Linked DNA regions of Styela clava. The protein of the gene in region 2 purifies or fractionates together with the protein of the main gene of each other region. This does not show direct contact. Links are inferred from orthologs where the notes say so. Each region holds a gene or a part of one and is shown on either strand. Other genes may lie near its edges.

The links. The genes of interacting proteins can lie anywhere in the genome.
Region 1: the proteins of glucose-6-phosphate 1-dehydrogenase-like (region 2) and heat shock protein beta-1-like fractionate together in Homo sapiens (co-fractionation; 3 studies listed by BioGRID and IntAct, with this or other methods). This does not show direct contact. The link is inferred for Styela clava from reciprocal best matches to the Homo sapiens genes G6PD and HSPB1.

What each region holds. Positions count from the first base shown.
Region 1 is NC_135252.1:17,838,507-17,845,501, forward strand, and holds the start of heat shock protein beta-1-like, read right to left. Parts: upstream 3,060-6,995; 5' UTR 2,593-3,059; coding exon 2,482-2,592; intron 1,192-2,481; coding exon 1,003-1,191; intron 1-1,002. UniProt on the Homo sapiens protein: Small heat shock protein which functions as a molecular chaperone probably maintaining denatured proteins in a folding-competent state. Plays a role in stress resistance and actin organization.
Region 2 is NC_135258.1:19,449,659-19,457,009, reverse strand, and holds the start of glucose-6-phosphate 1-dehydrogenase-like, read right to left. Parts: upstream 3,092-7,351; 5' UTR 2,899-3,091; intron 1,459-2,898; 5' UTR 1,424-1,458; coding exon 1,286-1,423; intron 1-1,285. UniProt on the Homo sapiens protein: Catalyzes the rate-limiting step of the oxidative pentose-phosphate pathway, which represents a route for the dissimilation of carbohydrates besides glycolysis.

The DNA of each region.
Region 1 (6,995 bases), on a different chromosome or scaffold from region 2:
TATACAACTTGGCTTGGCATTGTGTTAAGAGTAAGGAATCCGCTTTATATATATCGCATCGCAGACTACCATACGCGGATTCACAAACTGGGCCCTCTTGGGAGATGGTTAGTTATGTGGAAGATTGCTGGATTCCTCGGCGTTTCGCAAAACGGCTCACTTGATTATCAAATAACCGACCTCGACTGCCAGCAGGGGGAAGTTCTTGGTTCATCCTATGATTATGCCGCGTTGCGGGCTTCCGGTTAAACATTACAAAATCTGGTACTTCTGAGGTATGCGTATCAAGATGGCGGACACCGGAACGTAGTATGTGTACCAGGTTAGGGTTAGGCAATAATTTCAGGTACAACTTATCTAGTCCCCGAACTCGTAATAGAACTAAAATAAGGAAAATTGGAATTAAATTATGGCCTAACCTTAACCTGGTACACATACTACGTTTCGGTGTCCGCCATCTTGGTAGCCATACTTCAATAGAACCCAAAATCTTTCATAATTCAAACTCAAGCCAAACAATCCATTAGACAACACGTTTATGCAACAATGCGGAAACCCTGTATACCATTCTAAAATCAAGACAGATCTCATGCAATCTAGCATAAATATTTAGTAAACACTTACCAAATAACATGACATTATAAAAATATAAAGACATTTTTTACAAAGCACCCGCCATAAAAAATACACCCTCGCCAGCGCTCCAAATAAGAGAATTAATAAATATTCAGTTAGGGATAGGGATACAGATTGCGCTGTCAATTCAAATCATTTCCGACCCTAACCCCAACTGGATATTTACTAATTTGTTGTTTTAAAAAACGTGAATGGGTGTTTTCTCAAATCTCACATTTTTGCATTAGTGGTGCTTTGTATGAAAGATCCAAAATATTATATTAGACAAAAATTCGCCCATCTATTCGCACAATTATCATTGATCATATTTAGTAATCGACTCTTCGCAGCAGATGCGTAAAAACCTATATCCTAGAATCGCCTTACTTGAGAAACTCCACCACTATTCTGTCGGTTGACAAGTTGCGGAGCAGTAGGTTGGACGGCAGCCGGAGATCTGACAACATACGGAACGGAAGCAGTCGCCGAAGAAGCCCATGGATCACCCCCACCTCGGACCAATCTCTGACGATGCTCACTTCGCACACTGTTAGTCATTGGCATTCCGCCAAAATCCTGTATTCAAAGTGCATGTCTGGTTATATTCAAGCGAACTAAGTGAAGTCGACGAAAAACTGGTAAAGGCGTGCGTGACTGGATGGTAACCGTGAAAGAAAACTGATGACGTACCGTAGTTGACTTGTGAAGTCAGCGCAGAAAACATGAATCGAGCATGACATTGGAGTGTATCATCATAATGCTTAATGTGTGATAATCAAGCTTATGAGATTTAATAATTTAGATTGAAGATCTTTGCTGACTTGTGCCTTGCCCAATAAATATAATCTGTGAGTGTTCAGTGATCACATAGCGGCAGCAGAAGATAAAATTATATTTGCAATTGGTGATACATGTACCGAGAGCAGTGAAGAGTCAAAGTGAGTTGAATAATAAAATTAATAAAAAGGCTCTACTACGAATTCCTCGTACCAATGGTGTCCTATGCCATTTATCCGTATCATTTTAAATTTGCATATAAGCAAAATACAGAATAACGTATCTCAAGTTATGGTCCAAATCGCCATTTAAATGGCCTTTTAAGAAAAGACTGCATATTTATACCGTATATAAATCATAAATTTATTTCAAAACTATTCTCCAATCGTAACATCCTAAGTTACTGGATATAATCACATTAGACTTTTCGGCTACCACCACATCTTTTCAACAGTGCTGTGGCCTATGAATCCAACCTGCGAAGAATTCGTCTGGCATACTTCTGACTGAAGTACTGACGTCTGTATCGGTTGGCATTTTACAGAAACGTGTCATGATTTAAAATAGTGAAATAATGATGTTAATAAAAAACTCCTCTTCGAAATCTCAAACGTAGTAGTTACATTCAACATGCATAAAATATGAAAAGAACGAGAATAGCAACACATGCAACAATATACAGATATAAGCAGCAAACATAGCACAAAATAAGTACTAAGGATAATATAAAATTTGATTATTTACTAATAATTAATTAACAGTTGCAATCCGTTCTCTGGGCAAAAGATAAGGATGAGTTTTTCAACCCATTATATCCGAAATAGAAAAGTGATTTGTGACTAATGTGAAAAAGTCCAGAATATATAATATAGATTTTATTGAATATTATCCGGGATTATACAGAGACAATTTTATGTAATTGTCTGACATTCAAAAATAATTTGAAAAATATTTCAAGAAATTTATTTTTTGTGATCTATTAGACTTAGAGTATAAAAATGAACCTGTCTCAATACAAAAATTTATTGTAAAGTCGTTATCTTCAACACGTACTGCATAGAAAATTAAATACTAAAAAGTAAGACTCACTTGGTCCCAAATAGTTGTAGCGGGAAACGTCCAGTCTTGAAACGGTTCCCACGGGGTTGGTCTGTATGGTGTTATATGAATTCGACGTTCTGTTCTTTGTCTTTCAGCCATCGTTATTTATTTATAAACAACCTACTAATAAAAATGGACATTATGAAGATGCCGAGGACATCCTGCCCTGAATATAGCGCAATTCCACGAATTTCTCATTTATGATTCCTGACCAGTTCCATGTAGTCACTAGCTGAATAAGTTCGTACTGTTTTCATAAGCGTACACATTATATTCGATCTGCGGAATAATAAATTTTTACACTAAGCCCCACTATCCCAATTACTGGATACAGAAGCTAGAGCGGCATTTTATCGATCCAGCACCCCCTTTACTTGATCCCAAAATAGTCCCATTGCCTCATCTACATCTGGTTTACTTATTCGTTGCGCGTTCCACTATTCAAAGATCAAACTTAAAAACTGGTCATTAATATTATCTTTCCTGAATATCCCGATCGTAATAACTCGCTTCCATACACTTTGTCTGGCAGTATGTAGCTGAGGTGAAATTTGTAAACTTATTCACAGGTATGAGTTTCTTGCGCTATTTCATCTTATATTCTAAAGCGGGGGAAGATTCCATCGCTCTTTTATCCCAATTTGGGAGTTGGCAATCACTCGTCTGTCGCGTATTTGACATGTCGCAGAGACGATGTTCGACTTGTGACGGCATTTTGTCGAGGGCATTCGCAGCTGTCACCTTGTATGCGCTTGTTTCCTTAATTAAAGCCGTGACTCTATCTTTGGAGTATGTGCTATCGCATACTGTATTACTCCGCCAAGATTGGGCAGAAGATAACTTTATCGCTTCGGAATGCGGGACAAATGTTGCCCACATCTGGCGACTTCAAGAAATGATCGAAGTGCCAACCGGGTGCATTCCGGAGTAGTACTTGTTTTCAATTGAGCATTACTAGATCGAAGGTGCTAATAACAAGGATATCAAATACCACCAAGGACTTATTATAGATCAATTTGTTGTTATACGACTTCAAGTCTTGTTGGCGACCTTTGGTTCGAGTAGAAGATAATACCGCCGGATAAAATCTAATCAAGCCAACGTATCATAGTAATGTAAGAAATTGGTTGCTAAATCTGCTTTTCCTTCGTGCCATATTGGAAAGAGAGAGAGTTTATTTCATTTTGCCAAACCAAGAAACAACATACATATATAAGTATAATAAGTATAAGTTTATTTCGACTCCATAATCAGCAAAACAATAAAATGAATGCTAAAAATAAATAAAAACTGATTATGAAATCAGGAGAGCGAACAAAGCCTTAGATAAGGTTTAAAACGTACAGAATGTATATAAGATGGAAGGTTTTGCCAAGAAGATGTGGTACGTGTTCACTCACCTAAAATAATTGAAATATTTCACACACCGGTATTGTAGCAAGTACATAAGGATAGTTACTGTGTATTTTAATATTTTCACCACTTATTGTTAGTAGTGCATGTTATTTGCCTGAAACAAGGTCGTTGTCCCAATTCATTTCCTTTATGATATATTTCTCTCACTCAGTGTAGCTTGTCTTTGCCGTTATTTGTTAGTTAGAAATTTGGTTTCATCACATATACTTGCTTTAGGGGTTTCAAGTGTAATTCGTTATTTGGATCAATTCGATTGTGCAACTTTACAATATAACATTTGGCATTCAATACATTGTGTGCTTTTTGACCTCTGAAGGAGTCAAGATCGGAGTTACACTCTGTTAACGTGTGTTCAATAACACGGGTGTGTGGACACGCAGATAGGGTCGAATCTTTGTTGCCCTATAGTATATAAAACTATCAAATAAACAGATGCTTTCGGTACATGACTGAAGAGATACGATATGACCTTTAGGGGTCATCGGAGTCAGTTGCCACAAAGAAGAAAAACTGAAGTTGTCCGGTACAAAATTAAAGTCCGGCAATCAATATCCTCCATATTCTACATCGCAATACAGTTTCTAAATAGCGCAATACGAAAATTTGAAAGGAAATTTCTTTTAAGGGGCAAACCGAGCAATAAACTATTTTAAACTGGACTCGCCAAATTTCTGAGTTATATGATCTACTTATTCTACTAAATACTATAACAGCACAACTAATAAAGTAATACAAATAAATGCCGGTAAGTCCCACGGTATGTTAGTCGTTGGTCCCACTCAACGACTAACATACCGGTCCCACTATATAACTATATAATATTTTTGGCTTATATACCGCTGCTGTAGAGATGGCTTGATTCATCGAATGATTCTGTTCCAAATAATATTTGTCAAATAATAAATCTCTCTCTCTCTTCAATCGGTATAAATATGCCTGTGACGAGGGGGTTAACAGGCCCTATAATCCACCCTTTCATCCCAACCCAATACATTCAAATAAATTTGAAAATGGGCCATTAGGAAAAAACGTGCAGCTGAAAAATCTTTCTGCCCGGTCGACAAGTAGGGTGAGCTATTAAATTTACATTAAATCGCTCGTCGTTTGCAAAGGAGATACTGAACACATTGAGACGACACAGTTTGCTTTGTAACCATATGCATCGAGCTAGCGATGGACATAATGCAATTAGTTTATCTAAGATTCTAAGTCATGTATTGGTTTTGGGGTATTTAAAATTGATAGCAGTATTGGCGTAATCGAAAAACCCCTAAAACTTCCAAGCTACCTAGTAGCAGTTTAAGCGAGAGTCTTTTGATGGTATATCTATAGGAGTATCTATTACCCTACACCAGTGGTTCTTAAAGTTTTTGAGCCGCGCCCCCTTCGAAACATTTTACAGACATCGCGCCCCCCTTTTTGCTTTGAAAAAATGCTTTTGTAATGGGCAGGTTAATTTATATTACCATGGCGCTGTAAGTGTTGGTCTCATAGCGTCATTGCTCAGATTGTTTAGGCATAAAACGCATCGGAGTACAACTTCGCCATTCACAGTCGTATACGTATAAAGCCATACTCAAATACATTCTCCTTTTCCCGCTCAGTCTGCAATACCTGGTACAGCCAAACTAAGTTTTAGGTAAAACTAAACAAGCAATAAGTGTATGGTTTTTGCGCTTTAATGTATTTTCTGCCTAAATAATATTTTAAACAAGACACGTAAAACTTCAATCAATTGTTTACTTCATCACTATTGAACAATGCAAAAATTATTTACTGTGTGTTTAAAAAATGGGGTGTACTAGGGTATTGTGTATTGAACTACAGGTCCTTTCTCCTTGTTTACTTTCTATTCCGGATCCGTATGTGGCTGTTGCCACAAGGATGCGTGACTGAGATAGTATTATGAAGATAAATAAAAATAACATTATCTCTTTCCACGAAATATCAAGTATATTTATGAGCTTTCGTTAGATCATAGTCTAACTTCTTCAGATAAAACAAGATATGGCTTAATCAAATAGCGAATAATTCGCTCATAAATATACTTGATATTTCGTGGAAAGAGATTATATTATTTTTGTTTAAAATACACAACAATTACAGATTTCTTGGTTGGCCTGACGTCTCCAAAATTCACTACCAATACCTTTGAACAACCACCAGGTTCAAAAATACAGTTTAAAAATTGTGAAGGAGTGCAAATGAGTTTGTGTACATTTTTAGCATAAAGAAAAGCAGTTCATTTTTTGATAGGTATTAGGCATGTGAACTTTTCCCCGGCCTTTGACCGCTGGAAAATAAAGTCGCTAATAACGTTTGCAATTGAATTTTGTTTAAATCTCCGATTGTTTTCGTCAGCGTGACATGTTATTTAGGCGGTTCAAATATTTATTTCGGTGTTTATTCCCCCTGAATCAGGAAACGGTAAACACCGTGAGTTTTGTTTTGGGGTGGACCATGACAGTTTAAAAACTCTTTTTCTTAGACATTGCAAATCTCATAAATTCCTCGTGCCTGTAGTGTTCTAAGACTACCGACTTGAAATAAGTTTTACTCTGTTGGATTTTATCGCACACTTAGGAATTTCTAGAACGGTGATATCTTAAAATTAATCGAGTGGCAGCATTGCGATGGAGCAGAGTGGGAGTTGCGGGGACAGCTCATATTGGTCTAATGCGCAAGAATACGGAACCAAATGTAATCGGGCACTTTGCTACACATTTTTATGTCCGCGGATTGCTGTTGTATTTTGGGTAAGTGGTGCTTTTATTTTATCGACGCAATCGCAGATTCAGTTTATCACAATTACATAAATAGAGTAACCATTTTAAATATGAATATAGATCATGGATTGAATATTTTATTCAACAGAAAAACCATTACCGTACATAAAAGTCGGCTCTTTTTACGAGTGGCGTAATCTAGACTCGACGACTGACTCAGAAGCCGTACTGCGGGGATTTCGGGGCAATGAATATATATGTATTTTTGATTTACTAATATACTTTATATATTTTCATTATACTAAATTAAATATACTTTCCGGGATTTCATACCAGATCTTTCTAACAACGATAACGAAT
Region 2 (7,351 bases):
AATAGTCGCCCGATCAAAATATGTTTAACGAAAATAACGCCGTCGTCGTGGCCATGTGATTTTAGCATCAAGACTCGAACAAGCTTGACATAGGTAAAAAAAATCGCGAACTTCTATCGGGATTCAATTTCAACAACATAAGAGCAATATTTTATTAAGACTGTCCCTGGGTCTCCTCGAATTACACGTCACACAAAAAGATTAATTTTAACAATTATATAGAAGCGATTATTATAGCTATCTCATGCGTGGGGCGTATACTTTCGGGAAATTTGATATTTGTTCAAATCGTCGTACCAAACATTAGCATGCCATATATATCTTAGACTAAGTGTATGAGAAATGACTGGCAAAAAACGTGTGTAAGCCTTACACCGCTATTATGTATAACTTCTACATACTGGCTTTACACGATATAACGGAAATAGTATTTCACCATTCGCCAACTTTCCCCTTTTCGCCATTATTTCGGTTATTTTCTAAAGCGGCTGCAGGTCTTGTCGGACCTTAGAATAGAACTCCCATTCAACAATATTTTAATAAGTTGAATACAAATTGAAAATGAATTTCGAAACAATGACAAATTTTGAGTATATTTTCGGCTCATAACGAATTACCTGATCATATATTGAATAGAGGATATCCAGGCAAGAATTAGGTGAGATAATATTTCCAGATACGGAGAACGACTCTGTAATAGCCCACGGTAATTTGTCATAAGCCGATTTCGCAAATACCCCAGGTTTAAATAACCTACCCAGCCTTGTGTGAAATTGAGTTATCCAAAAAATCCGTTATTATTTGTTTAGGTATATTCAGGCTTTGTTCGATCCATATCATTTCAAGTGATTAATAGTTATAGTAAGACTATTGCGAAATTCGCTGAACATTAAGTAGCTACCAATGCAATATATGAGGTAAAGAAAATGAAAGACTATTGCAACCGAGCGTCGCAGTAAGCTAGCTAGACCATTATTTCTGACATTCTCATTTCCTTTGTGTTCGATTACTATTGCATTGATTCATAACGGGAAATGATCGTGATGCCAATTTTAACACCATAAACTTTAGCATGATGATTCGCCAAAAACATACATTTTAACTTTGACTGCAACGTATACAATAACATCGATATCCAATACTTATGTGTCATGGTAAAATTTCGCCATGACGCAAATTCCAGTGAAATGTAATTATCTCGGGCGAACGCGCAGGAACAGTGCGTCAATGAACAAAATAAGTCGTTAGTTTTTGCGAAAATATATAAAAAAATTAACATCTGTACCGAAGCTCCAAGAACTACGAAGATATGCGCTTGGCCAAGCATGATCTCCATGGAGAGGGCTCTCTTGAACCGCTTCATCAGGTTGCCTTCACTATCAATCTCCGGTAGAACTCCTAACGTGTCTAGCTCTTCTGACATTGTGCTGGTTTCTGTTTAGTCACAGTTTAAATAGTCTGGGAAGAGATCAATGAAAAAGCGAAATCATGTAAAATATATAAACAAAGCACGTATATGTATTGCGAGCATCTCGCGTCCCAAATTCCTGACTACTCGAGGGCGACACACAGCGATTTTTAGTATGAACATTTTTCTTACATTGGTGTACTGGATCATACGCAATCGGGTGGTGCTTACGACATATTAGTCGTTTTCAAAAAAGTAGAATTTAGCAAAACACTGCATTCTGCATAAATATTCGAATAAAAACACTTGTTAAACGGGACTAGACCCCCTAGCTAGATCAAGGGTGAGCAATTACTATCCTGAAGGGCTAGATACAAAAACTAGAATTAATAGGTTAGTGGGCTGGATGCATAAAACTCAATATGAAAAACTATGAATAAATAACATTTTATTTACAAAAGCTAGTCCAACATTTATATAACAATATGAAGCACGACGTAACAACTAACAATCAAGGTCATCATGTGCGATTTTCATCAATATTTTCAATGAAAATTTATGTGTATAAAAGTATGGTCATCCGGCATGCGAGCCGTAATTTGCCCACCCCTGCCCTAGATAGTATTTTACTTTAAAAATTTTGGGCACTATCAGAATGCGTTTTTGATAATCGAATCCCATGCGAGTGCAAAAGGATTACTGGGCTTCTCGCTGCCATAGGGCGGTTCCCGAAACCGCTGCTCGGCTAGGCTTCCTCCACGATCAAGTCAATGCATCTAAAAACAACTCAACTGGCTAACTAATCCCAAACTCGACATGAACTGGTAACCGGACCAGAGGCCGTGTTTTGCCATATGATTAAGCCTTCTAATCGGCTTTCCTCCCCCTCGGAATAAATATGTAATCCTATCCTATCAATTGGGGAAGGGCGATATACAGCCACGCTATGGAGTCAAATTTTTTCTGAAGAAAAGGCTTTTAATCAGAAGTTTTGATTTGATGGGGCCTACACTGCGTAACAATTTTTTGTTCCCAGCTTTTTACCTGGATTTCCTGCTAGCATTTAATATGTACAGTACAGACTTTTGGTTTTGTGAAAATGGGGCGATTTCAACAAAATCAGGTTTTTGTGGGTGATATAAAACTGCACAAATGGTGCTATATTTCAGTGTTTTGATATTTCAAAGATGTATTTCTGGAATTCTATGTTAGAAATCTTGAAAAAAATAACACAAGCACATGTTAAACGACTGTTTGGTAACCAGAAAAATGTTTTTTTTTGCCAGACACCACACCACTATTCCACAACTAAGTCCCCATATGTAGTCACCCATCCTTTGCTCATTATACTGTCATTGGTAAGAAACATTTAAAATCCAATTATGCCACGATAGGTGTGTGTCAAAAGGGCAATTTTCAAATGCAACATTGACATCAAAATTTAGTTGTGAAGTGACCAGTTGTAGGGTCCCAATTTATGTCGCATTTACCGCTGATAAATTCAGTTCTATGTAGACCTTTCATCTGAAAACAGTGAAATTCGCCAGATTTGTCGAGATCACTGTGCATTGAATATGTCATCAAGACAGACATTCTTTTTCAGAAAGGATTGATGTTGCTTCTGTCACATTCTATATATTCTTTTTTGAATGCTATTTGAGGTCCTAGGTATCTATCTCAAAATTAAAAAAAATTGCATTTTTTTCAGTTTTGGGTGTAACCAATTACAAGCCAGGAACAAAAATTATGTTACACAGTGTCATGTTTGATATACCACCATTTTGTTAAGTTGAATGATAAGAATAATATAAAAAAATATATATATACTAATCAATGCACATAGTTAGAATTATGAAATATGCATGAAATGGCTGCATCGGAAGCCTCTATTAAAGAACAAACCTCTGATAGTATCATGCCACATAAATTAAACATTGTGCAGTAAGCATTTTCATCACAAATTGACCCTCGAAATCGACAGCATGCGAAATTCTGATATTACACAAATTTGTTGGCTATATCAGTACCCAAAATATTCAGAAATACCTACCGTAACTAATAATGTTATAAAAATGATACTATACGAGAACTCAGAACATATTCGTTTCAAACAATTCAATTGGCAAGAAATTGCTTAAAAAACAGTGGAGCATCCCTCTAAATAGTAATTTTAACCCATATCAAGGTAATAAACCCAAGATCGGAAGATTACATATGCCAAGGCGATAGGATTGATCCAACTTGCTTTAGAAGGGATGCTTTAATCAATGTTGTACAGTTCCAAACCATCTTTATTTTGCGATTGCAGGATTGTCCCTTGTTTTTTGGTTTATTTATTTCAGTAGGTAGGATGTAGGTGAGTTTTAAAAAATTGATTTGACGTTCTGAAACTTATCACTCTACTCAAGCTGTCATGGCCTTGCTTTGAGCAAACTTTCATATAAATCTTTAAAAATGGCAACTGTATCGTATGCTGTGCATGAAATTAAATTCCGATGCGTACAGCCATAAATATGGTGACCTGATATTGCAAGAATATATTTGAAATATGGTTTAAATCTCAAATAATCCCGTAATCATAATAAAATTATTTACCGGAAAAATCTTAACATACTGACATAAGCAATGCACAGCACAAACCTGCAAATGGTGAAATGGCATAACTGCAGAATGGGGAATTTTTATATTTACAGTCTTGAATAAAAAATAATAATTAACAGGTTTCTAAATTTTCCAATCTACTGAATCTAATTTTCAAAAATTATCCTTACTGCAGCAGTACAGCAGTACTGACAGCAAATAGCAATACCGGTACTCTGTTAATTTATTACAAAATTATTCGGACATCGCCGAAGTCTGGAAGTTCTGATGTTAGACATTAATGTTAAAGTGTCGACGGGTCCAAATTCTGCTCTGTCTACGTACTGACGTATGTACAGATGTAACGGCGTCTGCAGCAGCTGCACAAAACAGGGACAACACTAAAAGGCTGAAGGAAGAAACGGATGAAGTGGCGGAAAAACGGAAGTTGATGTGTTCCCAAAGGTGAAAAATTGAAAAACACTAAAAGGCTGAACACTAAAACGAAGAAGTGGAAGAAATTTCTTCCGAGGTGGCTGAAACCACTAAAAAGCTGAACACTAAAAGGAAGAAGTGGATGAAATTTCTTCCGACGAATAATGAGGTGGTTGAAGCGGTTGAAGTCACTAAAAAGATGAACACTAAAAGGAAGAAGTGGATGAAATTTCTTCCGACGAATAATGAGATAGTTGAAGTCACTAAAAAGCTGAACACTGAAAGGAAGAAGTGGATGAAATTTCTTCCGACGGGTGTTGATGTGGTTGAAGTCACTAAAAAGCTGAACACTAAAAGGAAGAAGTGGATGAAATTTCTCCCGACGGGTGTTGATGTGGTTGAAGTCACTAAAAAGCTGAACACTGAAAGGAAGAAGTGGATGATATTTCTTCCGACGGGTGGTGAGGTTGCCGAGGTCACTAAAAAGCTGAACACTAAAAGGAAGAAGTGGAGGAAATTTCTCCCGACGGGTGTTGATGTGGTTGAAGTCACTAAAAAGCTGAACACTAAAAGGAAGAAGTGGATGAAATTTCTCCCGACGGGTGTTGATGTGGTTGAAGTCACTAAAAAGCTGAACACTAAAAGGAAGAAGTGGATGAAATTTTTCTACTACAGGTGGTGAGGTGGCTGAGGTCACTAAAAAGCTGAACACTAAAAGGTAGAAGTGGATGAAATTTCTCCCGACGGGTGTTGATGTGGTTGAAGTCACTAAAAAGCTGAACACTGAAAGGAAGAAGTGGATGATATTTCTTCCGACGAGTGGTGAGGTGGCCGAGGTCACTAAAAAGCTGAACACTAAAAGGAAGAAGGGGATGAAATTTCTCCCGACGGGTGTTGATGTGGTTGAAGTCACTAAAAAGCTGAACACTGAAAGGAAGAAGTGGATGAAATTTCTTCCGACGGGTGTTGATGTGCTTGAAGTCACTAAAAAGCTGAACACTGAAAGGAAGAAGTGGATGAAATTTCTCCCGACGGGTGTTGATGTGGTTGAAGTCAACAAAAAGCTGAACACTGAAAGGAAGAAGTGGATGATATTTCTTCCGACGGGTGGTGAGGTTGCCGAGGTCACTAAAAAGCTGAACACTAAAAGGAAGAAGTGGAGGAAATTTCTCCCGACGGGTGTTGATGTGGTTGAAGTCACTAAAAAGCTGAACACTAAAAGGAAGAAGTGGATGAAATTTCTCCCGACGGGTGTTGATGTGGTTGAAGTCACTAAAAAGCTGAACACTAAAAGGAAGAAGTGGATGAAATTTCTCCCGACGGGTGTTGATGTGGTTGAAGTCACTAAAAAGCTGAACACTGAAAGGAAGAAGTGGATGATATTTCTTCCGACGGGTGGTGAGGTGGCCGAGGTCACTAAAAAGCTGAACACTAAAAGGAAGAAGTGGATGAAATTTCTCCCGACGGGTGTTGATGTGGTTGAAGTCACTAAAAAGCTGAACACTAAAAGGAAGAAGTGGATGAAATTTCTCCCGACGGGTGTTGATGTGGTTGAAGTCACTAAAAAGCTGAACACTAAAAGGAAGAAGTGGATGAAATTTCTTCCGACGGGTGTTGATGTGGTTGAAGTCACTATAAAGCTGAAAACTAAAAAGACGAAGTGGATGAAATTTCTTCCGACGGATAGTGAAGAAAATTTATTATATTAGTTTAATATTTATGAGACAATGTCCTCGTGGATTCGTTTTATGTTAATTTTTTATATGGTATTCTCAGTTCGAGCCTGGCGAATATTGAAGGCCATGACATTCTCGTTATATTGTTTTTAATTTTGATGTAATGTGCAAGCAAATTGCTATATATATATACTCATTTCTAGCTGTTACTGCCGTATAATGGATTTGTTGCGCCACAATGGGTGGGTTACGGCGAGGCATGTTTTGCAAATAGATATCTTGTTTTTCAAGACGCGTGAAGCTGATTTTGTTATCAAATCAATTTTTCCAATCAACAAATCTTGTAATTTATAATATGTTTGTGGCCCGCCTCAAAATGGCTCTGAGGCTTACCAGTGGGCCATGGCACATTGGTTAAGAAACAGTGGTCTAACAGGACTTCAATTTGACTAATACATCATTATTTCAAGTCTTCGTGCGTGAACTGCTTGCAAAATTTTAAAAACAGATATTAAGTTTAAGGAATGGAATACGGAATCAAAAATTAATTATATTCGGGCACAATACCACGGCAATCTATGTACATAGATGTGTGGCCAACTGCGCGATTGTTATTTATTTTTTGATTCCTATTTTCGTATATACAAAATACAACGGCGATCCATGGACTTGAAAATGTGTGGTAAACTGCCCGATTATAATTAGTTTTTGATTCATATTTTCGTATTTATAAAATAATAAAAGATATATATGCGGACATTGAAGTGCCCGAATATAATTAATTTTTCATTCGTGTTTACGTACTCACGAAAAAATTGTCGCAAATCAGAAATATAATTTATACTTTATACCGCTTTTTGGCAAATAATTTGGATAATGGTTGGTATTCAAACTTTTTAGGATGATTTTGTGTTGCGCAAAATGTTCAAATCCATGACCGATAGCACTATTTTAAATGCTTGCCGTATTAATTTGATTCTGATAACGTAACTCATGGTATATGAAAATATATAGCAGTAATCTGCAAACATGAAATGCATGGTAGACAACATGTTGTTGATGACAGTTATTCCATTGTTTATTGTATGCAAATTCCTTTATATAGGCTACTATAGATAAGCCTCAATTATTTTATTTTCGAATGTATTCGAAATAGTGAACTATTCGGTATTGACCAACCATCCCCTTAGGACTGAAGCAATTTGATGCAACTCAATTGTGAAAATAAGCGCAGGAAACAATTCTATTGTAA